Notamacropus eugenii: one gene and its partner. The protein of the gene in region 1 binds, or shares a complex with, the protein of each later gene. Links are inferred from orthologs where the notes say so. Each region holds a gene or a part of one and is shown on either strand. Other genes may lie near its edges.

What was found. The genes of interacting proteins can lie anywhere in the genome.
Region 2: MED7 (region 1) and MED13L share a complex: the UniProt entries of both Homo sapiens proteins name them as parts of the mediator complex. The link is inferred for Notamacropus eugenii from reciprocal best matches to the Homo sapiens genes MED7 and MED13L.

The regions. Positions count from the first base shown.
Region 1 is NC_092872.1:386,117,650-386,124,930, forward strand, and holds the start of MED7 (mediator of RNA polymerase II transcription subunit 7), read right to left. Parts: upstream 3,007-7,281; 5' UTR 2,872-3,006; intron 1-2,871. UniProt on the Homo sapiens protein: Component of the Mediator complex, a coactivator involved in the regulated transcription of nearly all RNA polymerase II-dependent genes.
Region 2 is NC_092875.1:29,411,342-29,418,400, reverse strand, and holds the start of MED13L (mediator of RNA polymerase II transcription subunit 13-like), read right to left. Parts: upstream 3,006-7,059; 5' UTR 1-3,005. UniProt on the Homo sapiens protein: Component of the Mediator complex, a coactivator involved in the regulated transcription of nearly all RNA polymerase II-dependent genes.

The DNA of each region.
Region 1 (7,281 bases):
TGTGTGAACAGAGGTAATAAGTTCAGAAAGGTAGGCTGGATACAGATTGCCAAAAGCTTTAAAGTCCAAAGAGAGAAGTTTGTATTTGATCCTAGAGGCAATAAGGGACCAAATGAAGCTTAAGCAGATGACTATCATTGCTCCTTTAAGAATATCTCTTTGATAGCTGTGTGGAGAATGGATTGGAAAGGGGGAAGACATCTGAGGCAAGAAAACTAATTAGGAAGCAATTGTAATCATACAGTTAAGAGAGAATGAATAGCTGAACTACATGATAGAGCAGGGGGAAAAAAAAGGATCTGAGAGATGTGGAAAAAGGAAAAAACAAAACAACTGACTAGATGGGAAAAGCAACTCAGAATCATAGAATCATGCATCTAGAGCCCTAAGAGATTTCTGAGGCCATCTTCAGAGCCAATCCTCTTATTTTGGAGATAATAAACTCAAGAAAGTGAAGTGATTTATCCAAAAGCATAAAGAGGCAATGAAGTGTTTCTTGAGGATAACTAAGAGGCTGTAAACTAGGGACTAAAGGACTGGGGGTACCCTCAACAAAAATAGGAAAGCAAGTTAAGTTTGGGGAAAGATAAAGAATTATGTATTGGAAATGTTTAGTGTGAAGTGCCTTTATTTGGATTATTCAAGTCAGACATATCCAATAACCAACTGGCAATTCTAGACCAGAGAATTTTAAGCTCCCTAACAGCAAAGAGTTTTAATTATTTATATATATAATACTATATACTGTATATAATTATATATATAATATATAATATAGATGTGTGTGTATATATGTGTGTGTGTGTATACGTATATATAAAACACCAGCATCTGGCGACTAGTTCAGTGCTTTGAACATGAAAAGGCTCTTAACGACTACTTATGGGACTTCCTTCTGAGGAATCGGTTGGACTAGATGGCCACTGAGGGTGAGGTCCCTCCAAAGTTGAAGTTTTCTTGAATCAAAATCAAATAAAAATACTAGCAATATGTGAATTCACATATGAAAAGGAAATAAAAGAAGTCCAACATTCTTTATTTTTTGGGATGGGAAAGGGTTGAAGGTGTCTTTGAAAAAGGGTACAGAGGCAGTGGACACCACTGGAATACACAGGTTCAAGGTCTCAGATGGCACTTATTTATGTGATCTTAGCCAAAGTCTTCCCTCACCAATGCTCCTTATAACTACAAGGTGATGGGCCTGAAAGCATCCGCAACTGGTATGGTAAATTTCCTCACTGTCCCAAAAATAACATACTCTTTTCCCCCTCACCTGGAACTGCCTGTCTCCTTACCAGTTAGCCAAAGAAATCCTATCTAGATAAAGTCCTACCTCTAAGCTACAAGGCCATAATGGTAAAAACCACTACACCTTGCAAATTAAAAAACAAAAACACTGCTAGACTCTTAATTCCCGCTCTACCTGTGTGATCTTGAAAACATTGCTTTAAACACCACCAAGCTAAAGTTTAATCAGTAAAGGGGTTTTAGTCAAGTGAATTAAAAATATCCCTTTATATCCTATAACCATTGCTTTTTTCAAAGATTGTCCTCATGCAGAGTCTCTTCTCACCTCCTTAAATTAAACACCACCTTCCAGCTGCTGGTGCGCCCCTTACGTCCCGTGCAGTTAGACCTAAGTTTGTAGGAAACGATTTTGTTTCGTCTCTGAATCCCCAAGTTCTCATGAAGTAAATGCTTGTGGATTCATTTGAGCCACTCACTACCAAAATAACCCCGTGTAAATCACTTAACCTCTCAGAGCTCCTTTTTCCTTTGTAAAATAGGTATATAAACGTCTGCTTCGCTGAGCTGTTTTTAACCAAACGGGACCACTAACGTACAAGGTTGGGAAACATTAAAGAACCAGCATCAATACCGATTTTTTGGGCTATGACGACCACCTCTACACTCTAAAATGAGTTTCATTCAGTTCTGACAAAACGGCGGCAAAAGTCAACAGCGATCCTATGCCAAGGTGTGCGCTAAGTACGGGAACACCAAGAATGTTTTCCCTCCAGGAGCATTCGATGAGGGGTTGGGGGGGCACACGAACACCTCCGTATAAACAAGAGTTGGGGGGCACACGAACACCTCCGTATAAACAAGAGTTGGGGGGGCACACGAACACCTCCGTATAAACAAGAGTTGGGGGGGCACACGAACACCTTTATATAAACAAGAGTTGGGGGGGCACACAAACACCTCTGTACAAACAAGAGATGGGGGGGTGCCGAGACACAGAGGGAAAATGTTCGCACTAAAGGTACGAGTTAAGGCTGGCGGGTCTTAGAGGAGAGTCGGGGGGTGCCAGGACGTGAGGAGGAGGAGGAGGAGGGGGAGGGGGAGGGGGAGGGGGGGGAGGGGGAGGGGGAGGGGGAGGGGGAGGAGGAGGAGGAGGAGGAGGAGGAGGAGGAGGAGGAGGAGGAGGAGGAGGAGGAGGAGGAGGAGGAGGAGGAGGAGGAGGAGGAGGAGGAACACCGCAGGCACCGGGAGGGAAAATGCACAGTCCCCAAACCTTCCAAGTCTCACTTTCCTCCGGGGGCCCGCAGGGACGAGCCTCTCGGCAGGGGGTCCAGGGGGCCGCCCGACTGGGGCGGGGGGGGGGGGCCCAGCTCCCACACCCACAGGCCTTCCACGGGGAGGGGCCGCGACCCCCGCCGTAGCCGGGGCGCCGCGAGGGGGCGGGTAAATCGGGGGGGAGGGGGCGGGGATGTTTACAGAAAAGGGCAGGGGCGAGCACGCCGAGCGCCCTCCCCACAGCCGGGAGCCTGCAGCTCCGCTGGCCCTTTCCCTGCCGAGAAATCCCCCGGGAGAAAAAAACCCAAACCGCGCCGAGATCCCACGTCCCCAGCTGACATCGCCACTCACCTCCCACTACTTCACGCAGTTTCTAGAGCGTCGCGGATAAACCGCGTCTATGGCCGCCGACTTCCGGCCGCCTTAGTCAGGAAGAAGAGCCTCCCCTCCCCGTCTCCCCCATGGAGCGCCTTCTGATTGGCTCCCGGAGCCGTCCGTTAAGGCACTAACCCTCCCCCCACACGGTCTGTTTAGGGGCTGGCGCGGCTCCCACGCCTGCGCATGCTCCCTGGGACTTTTGCGGGACTGAAAGTTCTTGGGGGGAATTTTTCCAGAGAGGCAAATCAAGGGAACCTTTTGTCGAAAGTCACGGCTGATACGGCCGCTAGTATTTAAAATCGGAAAGAAAAATAGTGGGGGAAAAATCATGGAAAGGAGATACTTTGAAAAATACTTTAAAATGTAAAAATTCAGTAATTTAAAAAACTTTAAAAAAACAGTAATTGTTCTTCTAGCTCTGAAGTTTGGTACACACTAGACACACTTTTGTTAAACTCCTTTGAATTCCGTTGAGACCCCATGAGAGGCGGGTCCCCGCAGTCGGCATTCTCCCCATTTTATGGAGGAGAAAACAAATCACGTGACCTGCCTGTGTTCACACCTTTAGGGTCGAAGGCAGCCTCAGACCCTGAAATTCACCAGTCCTTTCCATTACAGGTAGGCGCAGCTGTCGCAGTGTGCAACATAAAATAGGTGCTCCTAGAGCTGTGGATCCCAATTCCTCCCATGGGTGGTCTCTGCCTTCAAGGCAGAGGTAGAAATCAGGCTTGGAGTCAGCAAAGCCTGAGTGCCAGTGTGGCTTCATGCGCTAACTGGGCAAGGGTGGGCAAGCCCCTCAACCTCTACCTCAGTTTCCTCGTCTATAAAGTGAAGTTGTCTCCCAGGGTGGCTGTGAGGATCCAGTGGGAGGACTGTAAGGTGCTTAGCAAATACTACACAAATGTTAGCTATCATTATACAACCCAGTAGGCACCGTTCAAAACCTCTAGGTGGTCCAGTGGGTAGTGTATTAAATTATCCTAGGGGTTCACAACACATTTCTTTTTTGTTGTTCCTGGTGAAAAGGATTCTCAGGACAAACAAACAAAAATTGGCAACTACTTCTGTAGTGAAAGATGACCACCAATATAAAATGCAATCCAAGTGGGGGAATCCAAAAAGATATCCCAGAGGCTGGAAAAGCAGGGAAATCTAGTAGGGGATAAAAATGTAGTACCCCAGGGGGAGTCAGTCAATAAAAGTGAGAGAAATCATTGTTAATAATCAATGATTTGGGGCCATTCCCCCCTTTTTTCTTAAGTCCTGATTTTAAAAGTTCAGTCTCTCAAGGAGTGTTATTGATAATGAGACTGAACTTTCTTGTTCAGACCCTATGTGGTTGGAGAAGTTATTTTGCACTGGGTGAGGAATCAGTTCTTTGAATAGATTGCCCAAGGCAGTAATTTAGGAAGGAAGTGACATAATCAAAGTTCCTGGATGAGCCCCCTCCTTGAAATCCACATAATCTCACTGTTAGCTAATCAGAATTGATGGCTACCCTTGTAAACATTCCTCTTCCAATGGGCATACAAGCTTGAGCCGCAACCAAGATAATCTTTGGTCCAAGAGAAATAGGTAAATGACCATCTTTTACTAATAAACATGCTGGCATTATTAATAAAATGATTAATTACCCGGAAATTACATCTATGAGGCTGAGTGATAGGAACTATGCTAAGCATTTGTGTTCATCCTTCATTGCCGAAGAAGACCATGCTGTCAGAGAAATGATGATATGACTGCATTTGACTTTGTTTTGACTGAGGGAGGGTGGTGCAGGTCACCAGCCTATCTTCTCCGGAGCCATCTGAATCCAGTGACCAGATATTCATCAGGGTGACTGGAGATAACCCAAGATGCACTGGGAGATCTTGGCCCCTTTAGGCCAAAGTCTATGCAGGTACCCACTTAGGATGAGCACTGGGCATACAAAGAAAGACCAAAACCCAGTCCCTGCCCTTCAGGAGAGGTTGGCTACCACAGAATTTCAAGGTATAGGGAAGACCTGAATTCCTAAGACTATGGCCCACAAACCCTCAATGATGTATTTACTTTCAATAGTCACCCAGAGTATATGATAAGCTCAAAGCAAAAACATTGCTGAAATATAATTTTAAAAAAAGTAGCAGCTAAACATTTCCATAAATGAACAGTTCAAACTTTCCCACTAATAACCGACGTCAATGGGAAGAGTTAACACAAACAGAGATCACAAATAGGAAAGCTCATATAGGAAACACATGTGAGACCAAGGCACTCATAGGGAAGGGAAGCCAGAAAGGGATATTTACCTCTCCAAAAGCCTGCAGATCTGTTCGTTTTGGTGCTGCTTCTACTGCTCTTGGTGGTGAAGTTTTGACTGGATGCTGTTGGACTTTCCTGGATTCTTCTTGTCTGTGCCTTGTCCCACTGGTCACTACTGGACACTGCTTAACTGCAGCTTGCACCTTCTCCAGCCCCTGAATCAAATAAGTCAATATATAAGGAGGTACTTTGCAAATCTTAAATTGTTAGGCTAGTGCTATTGTTATTTTTGTTCTGGGCAGGAACCTTGGCCTGAGGACCAGCAGAAGGAATCCCCCATGCTGCTCCCTCAGAAACCCAGGTCTGAGGCCAGCTGTGTCCTGAGTAAGAGATCCTTAACTCCACATGCCAAGAACAAAGAACACAGGAAGCAAATGCTAAGGGTTAGTATTTTTTGCCCAAATTTTTACTGCCACCACATTTAGTCATTATTATGCTTATTAATAGGCTGATAATACACTAATATCATCAACCCCTCTAGGAACAAGCCAGCAACCTGATTCCTAAAGGTCTTAAGTCTCATCCCAGTGCTCATGGAAAGTTTCCTTCCTTCCTTTGCTCCTGAGGAGGTGGCTTTCTGGTGAGTCTCCATAACTGGCACTTTGCACTGTTCTTGAGAGAATGTTCAGAAGCCTGCCTTAGTTGAAACACAAGAGCAGGGTGAAGGCTTGGGTCTCTAGTGCTGCGGGCTTTTATGGTTCTGGTGAAGGGAGTTCCCAAGTTATGTCTATGTTCTGACTGGTGATTAGTTACCTAAGCTACTGATGAAATTATCCATTACAGAACTACCAATCAAAGTTTTAGTTTCCTAATGTCATTACTAAACGTTGGGACTTTTGGAAGATTTGGGACAACATACTTGATGCAATTTGCAGGTACTTAACTGTTACTTACCAGATTTGGGGAATAGTCATTAGTGATTACTTGCTGCTCTTTGTCCTTTTCTAGAAGATAACAATGACTTCAGGAAGATGATGCCATGACTTGAAAGTGAACTGGATTTAAGTGAGGGAGGGATGTGCAAAGTCACCAGCCTCACTATTTTCCTCTGAAGCCATCTGGGTCCAGTGGCATGATATAGATGGCCCCTGGAGATGGCCCCCAATCATTTAACAGATTTGTGGGCCAAACTATACCACTCAAGTGCTTATCTTATTACAGGGAGAACAAAATAGCTTATATATGGACTATTTAGTCATAAAATGGAGGTTGAAAACCAAATGGAGTTGCTCAGCCTAATATATTTATTCCTAATACATCAATATACTTTCAAATATGTTCTCAGTGAATTAGGTTATAAATCAGGTAATGGTTATTATTTGTGTGAAAGTCATTAAATCATTAAATATTTATTAAGCACTTAATGTGCCAGTCACAGTGCTAAGTTCTAGGGCAACAAAAAGAGACAAAAGACAGCCTGCCTTCAAGGAGCTTACAATCTATTGGAAGAGGTAATATGAATACGAATGTGTACAAAGGAAGTTATATATATGCAGAATAAATAGGAAATAATTAACAGAGAAAAGGCACTAGAATTAAAAGATTTTAGGAAAGGCTTCCAATAAAATAAAGGACTTAAAGGAAGATAGGGACGTCAATAGTTAAAGCTGAGGAGGAAGAAGTAGTTCTAGGGAAGACCAGAAAAAGTTGAAGTCATACAAAGTCTAAAAGTCAAAGTCATGCCCCACCCTAGAAATTGTAGGTGTGTGAATTCCTCAATTTAATTGGAAGAGGCCTCTCCAAAACAATGAGTGGGCCTTAGGCTACTTTCACTTTTATCCTTATCTACTCGGCTACCTAAGACTCCCTAAGGTATAGGCCAGAGGATGACTGAAATGAAGCTAATCATAAGGCTAAAGGAGGAGGGAGAAGGGACTTTTAAGTGAGGAAAAATTTGATAAAAATAATAAGATTTGGTGCCCTGACTGGAAGAACTCAGTAGACGTCCAAGGGTCTTCATGTCCTGCATCCAGACATTCTGCTCCCTTTTAGTTCCTTTTTGTGTGTTTTCTTCCCCCATCAGCTGGTGAGCTCCTTTCCTTTTCCTTTTTTTGTATCCTCCTCCATGCACATACTTAG
Region 2 (7,059 bases), on another chromosome or scaffold:
AATCCCAGATATCAGCATAGGGCTTAAACATAGTAGGTGTGCTATAAGCATGTGCTGTTTGCTGAGCTAGCTAGCTACAGGCAAATAGATCATGTCAGAAAAAGTCAAAATATTTTTTAGTGTAACCTTAAATAAACATGACTAACAACTCGAAAAGAGATAACTGTTTTATATTAGAAAGTAGACAATATTTTAAAGAAATGATTTATTTTTATAATATTCCAGTTACATCAGAAAGTAGATAATGATTTGGTTACTGTATTTAACAAAATTATCTTGTGAAAAAGGTTGTGAAGTCACTGGGAGGTGAATGCTATAAAGGAGTGGGGAGGTGAAATGGGAGAAGAGAATGCTCATTTAACCTCTCTGGGGCTCAGCTTCCTTAACTAAGGTAGCTGACTTTAGATTTTCCCTAAAGTCCCTTCCAAAGCTAAATTGTATAATCCTATTAAAACAACTTCTACCACCAATATTTAACTTGTTTTATTTCTGTCAAATGAATAAAAATGTTGAGGAATATGCACAAAATATGGGTCAGGAAGAAAAAATAACAGAGGCTAAAGACTTGTGTCTCAGAAGCTTAAAATCTTTATTTCATCAATACTTTATTCTAGAAATGAATCAATTGAATAATACTACCGAAAATACATATAATTGATTATATTTTAATAGATCTGAAAAGATTCACTATGGATGTGGTAAAGTCAGCCTTGAATCAGTTATCTCACTATAGTCAGACCATTAACTTGTCATACAATTTTTAAAAACTCAAATCTGAAGTATCTGAACAAGTAATTGATCATGAAAAATGAGTAATTGACAGGAAAAATGACAGGCACCAATTTTAATAATTTACACATTAGTTTAACTAGTGTAGATCAGTCACCATAACACGAAGAACCAAAAAGCCTAAAAAGCAACTTAATCAACAAAAACTTGATTTCTTTGCCAAGTGAACAGAGATAGGCAGCCAAAGACAATACCAGTTTAGAATACACTTATTTGCAAAATCCTTCCCAAAAATCACAAGCTCATAGAAGTAGAGCTAGAAGGAATGTTGATAGTCATCTAGTCCTATTCCTTCATTTTACAAATGAGAACAGTGAGGCGCAGAGCGATAGGATGGCTTCCCCAAGGTCATAAAAAGGCTATGATTATAAGAAATACTATTTTATAAAGTTTGAGAAAGTAAGTGGAGTAAAATCAGCTTTTAAAAAGTTTGGCAAGGGAATCAACTAATAAGCAAAGTGAGTTAACTCATGGGCATTTTAAAAAATTTTTTAAATTTTTCATTCTTATGAAAATAGGAAGACAACAGAAGAAAAATAGAAAATATCTGCAAAATATTTTATGACATTTTTTCACCTTCAAGAACAATCCCAGGTGGTCTGACAGAGGAGGCAGAAATGGCACCAAACAGAAAAAAAGCTTGGAAAAGCAGCCAGATTGGACCACATATACATAAAATGAAATCTGTGCTGAAGCTGCATAATTAGGAGAGCATAAAAGAGTGAATCCAGAAGGAATAGGTACCAAAGACATGGTGATAATTTCATCTATACAAAAGCTCCATGAGATTCCTCAGGATCTGCATTGAGGGAAGGCTCAGTGGAGTCAGGAGGGAGCAGGCTTTTGCAATCACTGCTTTACCATGGGTTATGTTCTTTGTTTTCTAGCATTTGATGAAAGATATAGTGAAGACGAGATCCTCCTGGGCTTATTTGTCAAATATTAATTTTATTTTGATTTGGTAAAATAAAATGCCACCTTAAAAGAATTCTTCCCACAAAATAACTCCCACCCATACATCAAAATCATTCAAGTTTCCCTGAAAGATGTAACAGAAATAGCCTTATTCAACAATCACTATGACATTAAACATCAAGTAAGGCATAAAACAGGGTGATATACGCTCACCAAAAGTATTCAAGTATCACTGTAATGGAGAAGATTTGTATAAAGTCCAAATTTAAAAGAGATTCCCTGTGAATGGTGAAGTCTCATTTCCTATTTGCTGGTGACATGGTGCTATTTGAATCAAGTCTTCGAAGCACTGCAGATCCTCCTGGAAGAGATTCATAACCACTCAAACAAGTTTGGCCTGACCATGCACGTAGGAAAAACTAAGTCTATGAATAACATCTACTGTCCAAATTTTGACATATGGTTAGATGGCCAACCTACAGAGCTTATCCATCAGTGTGTATGTATATGCATACGTGTGTTATGTATACATATGTATGTGGATATGTACGTATATATGACAGACAGTACAAATGGATAATGAATGAGTTGGCCTCATAATTAAACAAGAGGAGGAAAGGAAACTGGATGTCTTTGAAAAATTGCCAAGTTCCTTCTGTGACCCAAACTTCTCCCAGAAACAAAGATCTATGTTTTAATACTAACATTCTACTAGTGTTCTTACATAGCCAAGGCATGAAGCAGAAAAATCTCCAAAGAAATGAAAATTCATATCACATAAACAGCAAAAATGAGGTATATGGGCAGGAGGTTGAGCCACCTCCAAAGAAAATTTCAAAAAAGAAAAGGTGCAAAAAATATTGGGGAAATGTTTGATAAAAAGAGAAAATGGGCTACTCATGTAGCAACTACCAATGGCAGGTCAAGAGCCCCCGGGGGGGAGGGGGGGGTTAGGGTGAAGGGAGGAAACACACTGCCTAGGTACAGGAACCCCAAAGGCTAAAGAGATAGTTGAGAACAACCTCCCCACCAGCCCCTCATCACTGCAAAAAGCAGCAAATGCTGATTCAGCCCAGCTGGGAAAGGAAAGGATGAAAGCCCAAAGTCCCTGGGGTAACTACTGAGCCCTCCAAGGCTACTTCGCTTAAGGTCCAGGCTGGTGAACATGGAATCACTCCAGGTGAAGGGAGACCAGGGCAACTCTGCAACTTGGACCAGAAAGTCAAAAAGTCAGATGTAGGTGGAAAAAAGGGCTGAAATTCCCAAATTTTTAAAAAGAGAAAAGCTAAAAACAAAACAAAAAAAAACCCAAGAGTACAAATAGATAAATCCAGAGAGAAGATTCTAAAATTAAAAGGAATGTAAGTACGAAGTCCTAAAAAAGTATATAAACATTACAAGAAAAAGGAACCAATGTTTGATTAAATATAGAGAGCATGCATGGATTTCAAGAATTCTTCAACAGAAAAATGAAATCCATTAGAAAAAAAATGTCATTTAATATAGCCAAAAATGTGTTAATGCAGAAATTAGCTCATTTCTCTTTTTTTTAATGAATACACAATGGAGAGTTTTTCCAAAGAAGGAAAAGAGAGATTAATATATTTAGAATACAAAAATTCTTAAATGGGGGAACATCTTGGGGGGAAAAAATAGCAAAAGGTGAAAATGTTAAAAGAACAAACAATCTGTACATTAGTCAAAGCCATTAACCTTAAATATAGATATGCACAGAGACAACTTAAGAATCACAATCTGAAAACATGACAAATCAAAAGACCTGACCACCATCAAATATTAATTAAAAATTTTAAATAAAATCCTTGCAAAAAAGAATAACAATTTATCCAAGAAATTATCCCCTATATATTTTATTTATACCAGGGATATTACGATGGCTCATCATAAGAAAACAATATAATTAATCAAATTTTTAAAAAAAATTTGAAAATCATATTATATCAATAACTACAGATAAAGCCTGCGACAAATTATAGCACTTACTTATAATAAAAAACCCTACGAAGAATAAGTATAAAATATGATTTAAAGTATTTATCTAGAACCAAAAGCTAGCATTATTTACCATATATACAAAAGCTTCTCAATAAATATAAAAGCAAAGCAAGGATGTTCCCTTTACATGGTGTTATTTGATGAAGTTCTAGAAAGTTTCCAACAAAGAAAGAAAGTAACAGCATAAAGATAGCCAAAAAGGACAAAATTACTTTCATTTGCTGATGCCATGACAATCTACTTTAAAAAACATTAGGGAATCAGCAGAGAAATTAATGTAGATAATTAACAGCTTCAATAAGTAGGCTACAAAATAAACCCACAAAAATCAACAATATTTCTATATAGTAATGACAAAATCCACGGCAAGAATAAACCCCTTTCAAAATAACTATGAAAGGTATAAGATATCTTAGAGTTACAGTCAATATTTGTGTAAAATGAATAAATGAGAAAGCATTTATTAAGTATTGTGAAGCACTGTGTGGAGGACTAGGGATACGATTACAAAATCAACTCTATAGAGTTCAAAACTATTTCAAGAAAAAACAAATAACAGATATTTGCTGCTCATGGTTGGGCTTTGCCAATATAATAAGAATGACAATACTACATTAGAAAGTAGTAACTGTCAAAATCAATACTCGTTCAAGTTGATCAACAGAAAAGACTAGCCAAGGAAGAATCAGAGAAGTATATAACCTCAATAAACCTGAAAATAGAATTTACCTAGGTAAGTCTTCCCTGTTTGATATTAAGTACTGGGGAACATGGAAAACAGTTTGGAAGAAATTAGATTTAGACCAGTGTCTTAAGTGAGATAACATATACACAGCCATTAGAACTTTAAAAGCACTACTGTCATCTCATACCAGTGACATCAAAGTCAAATAGAAACAACTACACATAAGGATCCCAGTAGGTGCATACTGGCTTAGAAAACTACATATTAACATTAACTGTTTTACTACATTTTTATTCATTTTGCAAAATATTTCCCAATGACATTTTAATCTGGTTCAGGCCTCCCACATGGACCACATATTTGACACCTCTGTCTTATACCAATAATAAATTCAAAATTGATGACCCAAATGTTAAAGATAATTTTACTAAAAATTTAGATTATAAGTAGATCAGGTACCTTTCACAGCTGTCTAAAGAATAATTTCTTAGCAAATAAAGGATACATGATTCAAAAAAGATAAAACTGATAATTTCAGTTACATGAAATTGAAAAGTGTTTCCATGAACAAAATCAATAGAACTAGAATAAAAATAAAAGAAATGATGGGTTAGGGAGCAAAGAATCTCTGAGAAGTGTTTAAAAGCAAAACATATAAACAACTAAGGGAACATATAAAACCACAAGTCATTCTCCAATAAATATGTGGTTAAAAAACAAAAATACGCAATCTTCAAAAAAATTTTAAAACATCAACAACCATGCCAAAAAAAAAAAAACTGCCCCAAGTTAATATTAAAAAGGAAATGCAAATCAAAAGAACTCAGGGGTTTCAGCAAACTGGCAAAAATGACAAAAGATGGGCATTTATTAAGAGCACTATGAAATAATTCAACCAATCTAGAAACACTATGGCATTATGCAGAGAGAGTGACGAAAATGCTCATTCTCTGACTCAAGAGATTTTACTGCCAGAAATATGCCCCCCCACAAAGAGGTTAAAGACAAAAGGAAAGATCCCCATATGCACCAAAATATTTATAGTGGTCATTTTTGTACTAGCAAAGAACTGAAACCAAAGCAGATACCTGTCATTTGGGAATGACTAAACAAAGGGTGGTACTTTAATACAACATAATATAGTGTTATAAGAAAAAAAGGAAACAGAGACTGATGTACGGTAAGTAGAACAAAGAAAACAATACACATAATGCTTCCAAAAATATAAATGGGAAAACACAACGTAGGGCCCACCTACTCTGGGGTTCCTGCATGGTGATCATAACAATTCTGCCTCTTCATTACCTGGATCCTTCCCCCCACCTTGGGGCTGCTTAATTAGCCCATCAGAACCTAAAAGCCCAGTTTCCACCCTCCCACCCCCACCGCTATGATCAATCAATAATATCCCCCAAACTCCTGCTGGGGGATGGGGCTGATTTGGTCATCAGGCCTTGGATATGCCTAATCCCTCCACAAATAGGGAAAAGTGAGGGCTGCCCAGCCCCCATGTAGTCCTAAGTACATCCCTTTGACCAAGGCATCTCTTCTTACTGAGTTGTTGCCTCTTGCATGTGCCCCCTCTTCCATAGGTCTCAGTGCTTCATGAGTGCCTTCTGAGAATTCCCCCTGACATACTGGTCATACTGTTTTTGGTTCTGGCTGTAGTGGGGGCGGCTGAGGTGGTGACAGCAGGAGCAGCCACAAGAAGGAGGCCAATGGACTAAGAGCGCACAATACTAACGACAACCTCAACGCAAAATTCAGAGAGAGAAAGGTCAGTTTGCAGCGAACATTGAGCCCAGAGAAGGTGCTAAGAGAACACAAGGAAAATCGCAGTCTCTGGGAGGCCCAGCCCCTGTCCCCCACCCATGAAATGATGTACTGCCTTTGCAGGACTCTCAGCACTTCTAAAATGATGGGCTGCCGTCTGAATGGCCCCAGAGCACCTGACTCCCACCTCAGCTCAGGCTCTGCTGAAGCAGCCTCCTGATTGGTCTTCCTGCCTCAAGTCTCACAGATGGGACCTTGTTACTCTCCTTCTCAAACAATCAGAGTCCCTGCCTCCCACTTCCTTTAGGATAAAATAATGAATTGTTTAACCTTAAAAACCCTTCACATCCTGACCCCAGCCTCACTGGACCTCAAGCCCCCTCATATTCCACTTCCCAAGCCTGGGCCATTGCTCTTCCTGGTACTCACTGCCAGAATGTCAGCCTTCTTCACCTCTACGTCAGGGAGGCTCTCTCAGTCTTCCTTTAAGACAGAGCTCAAACACTACTTTCTCTATGAAGTCTTTCCTCATTCCCCCCACTAAACAGCAGCAGTACCCTCCCCTTCCAGACTACCCTGTATTTAACTACTTTGTATTTCTTGACATTATCTGTATCTTTATCCTATAAATACTTATACAACTACTTTGTGTTGGATTTGGAATATAGGCTCTTTTCTAGGCCAGCCCCTAAGTTTCTGTCATCAGCCCAAGGCACATGTCAGACACCTAGCAGGTGCTCCATAAATTCCTGTTGATTGTCAACAAAGAAAAAAGGAAGGTTAGGTGTGGGAATTAAAGGAGAGAAGAATGTCAAGTGACATTGAAAATGCTCAGAGGAGAGCAGACAGGGACAAAGACAAGCAGGGCACTTATTTTGTTC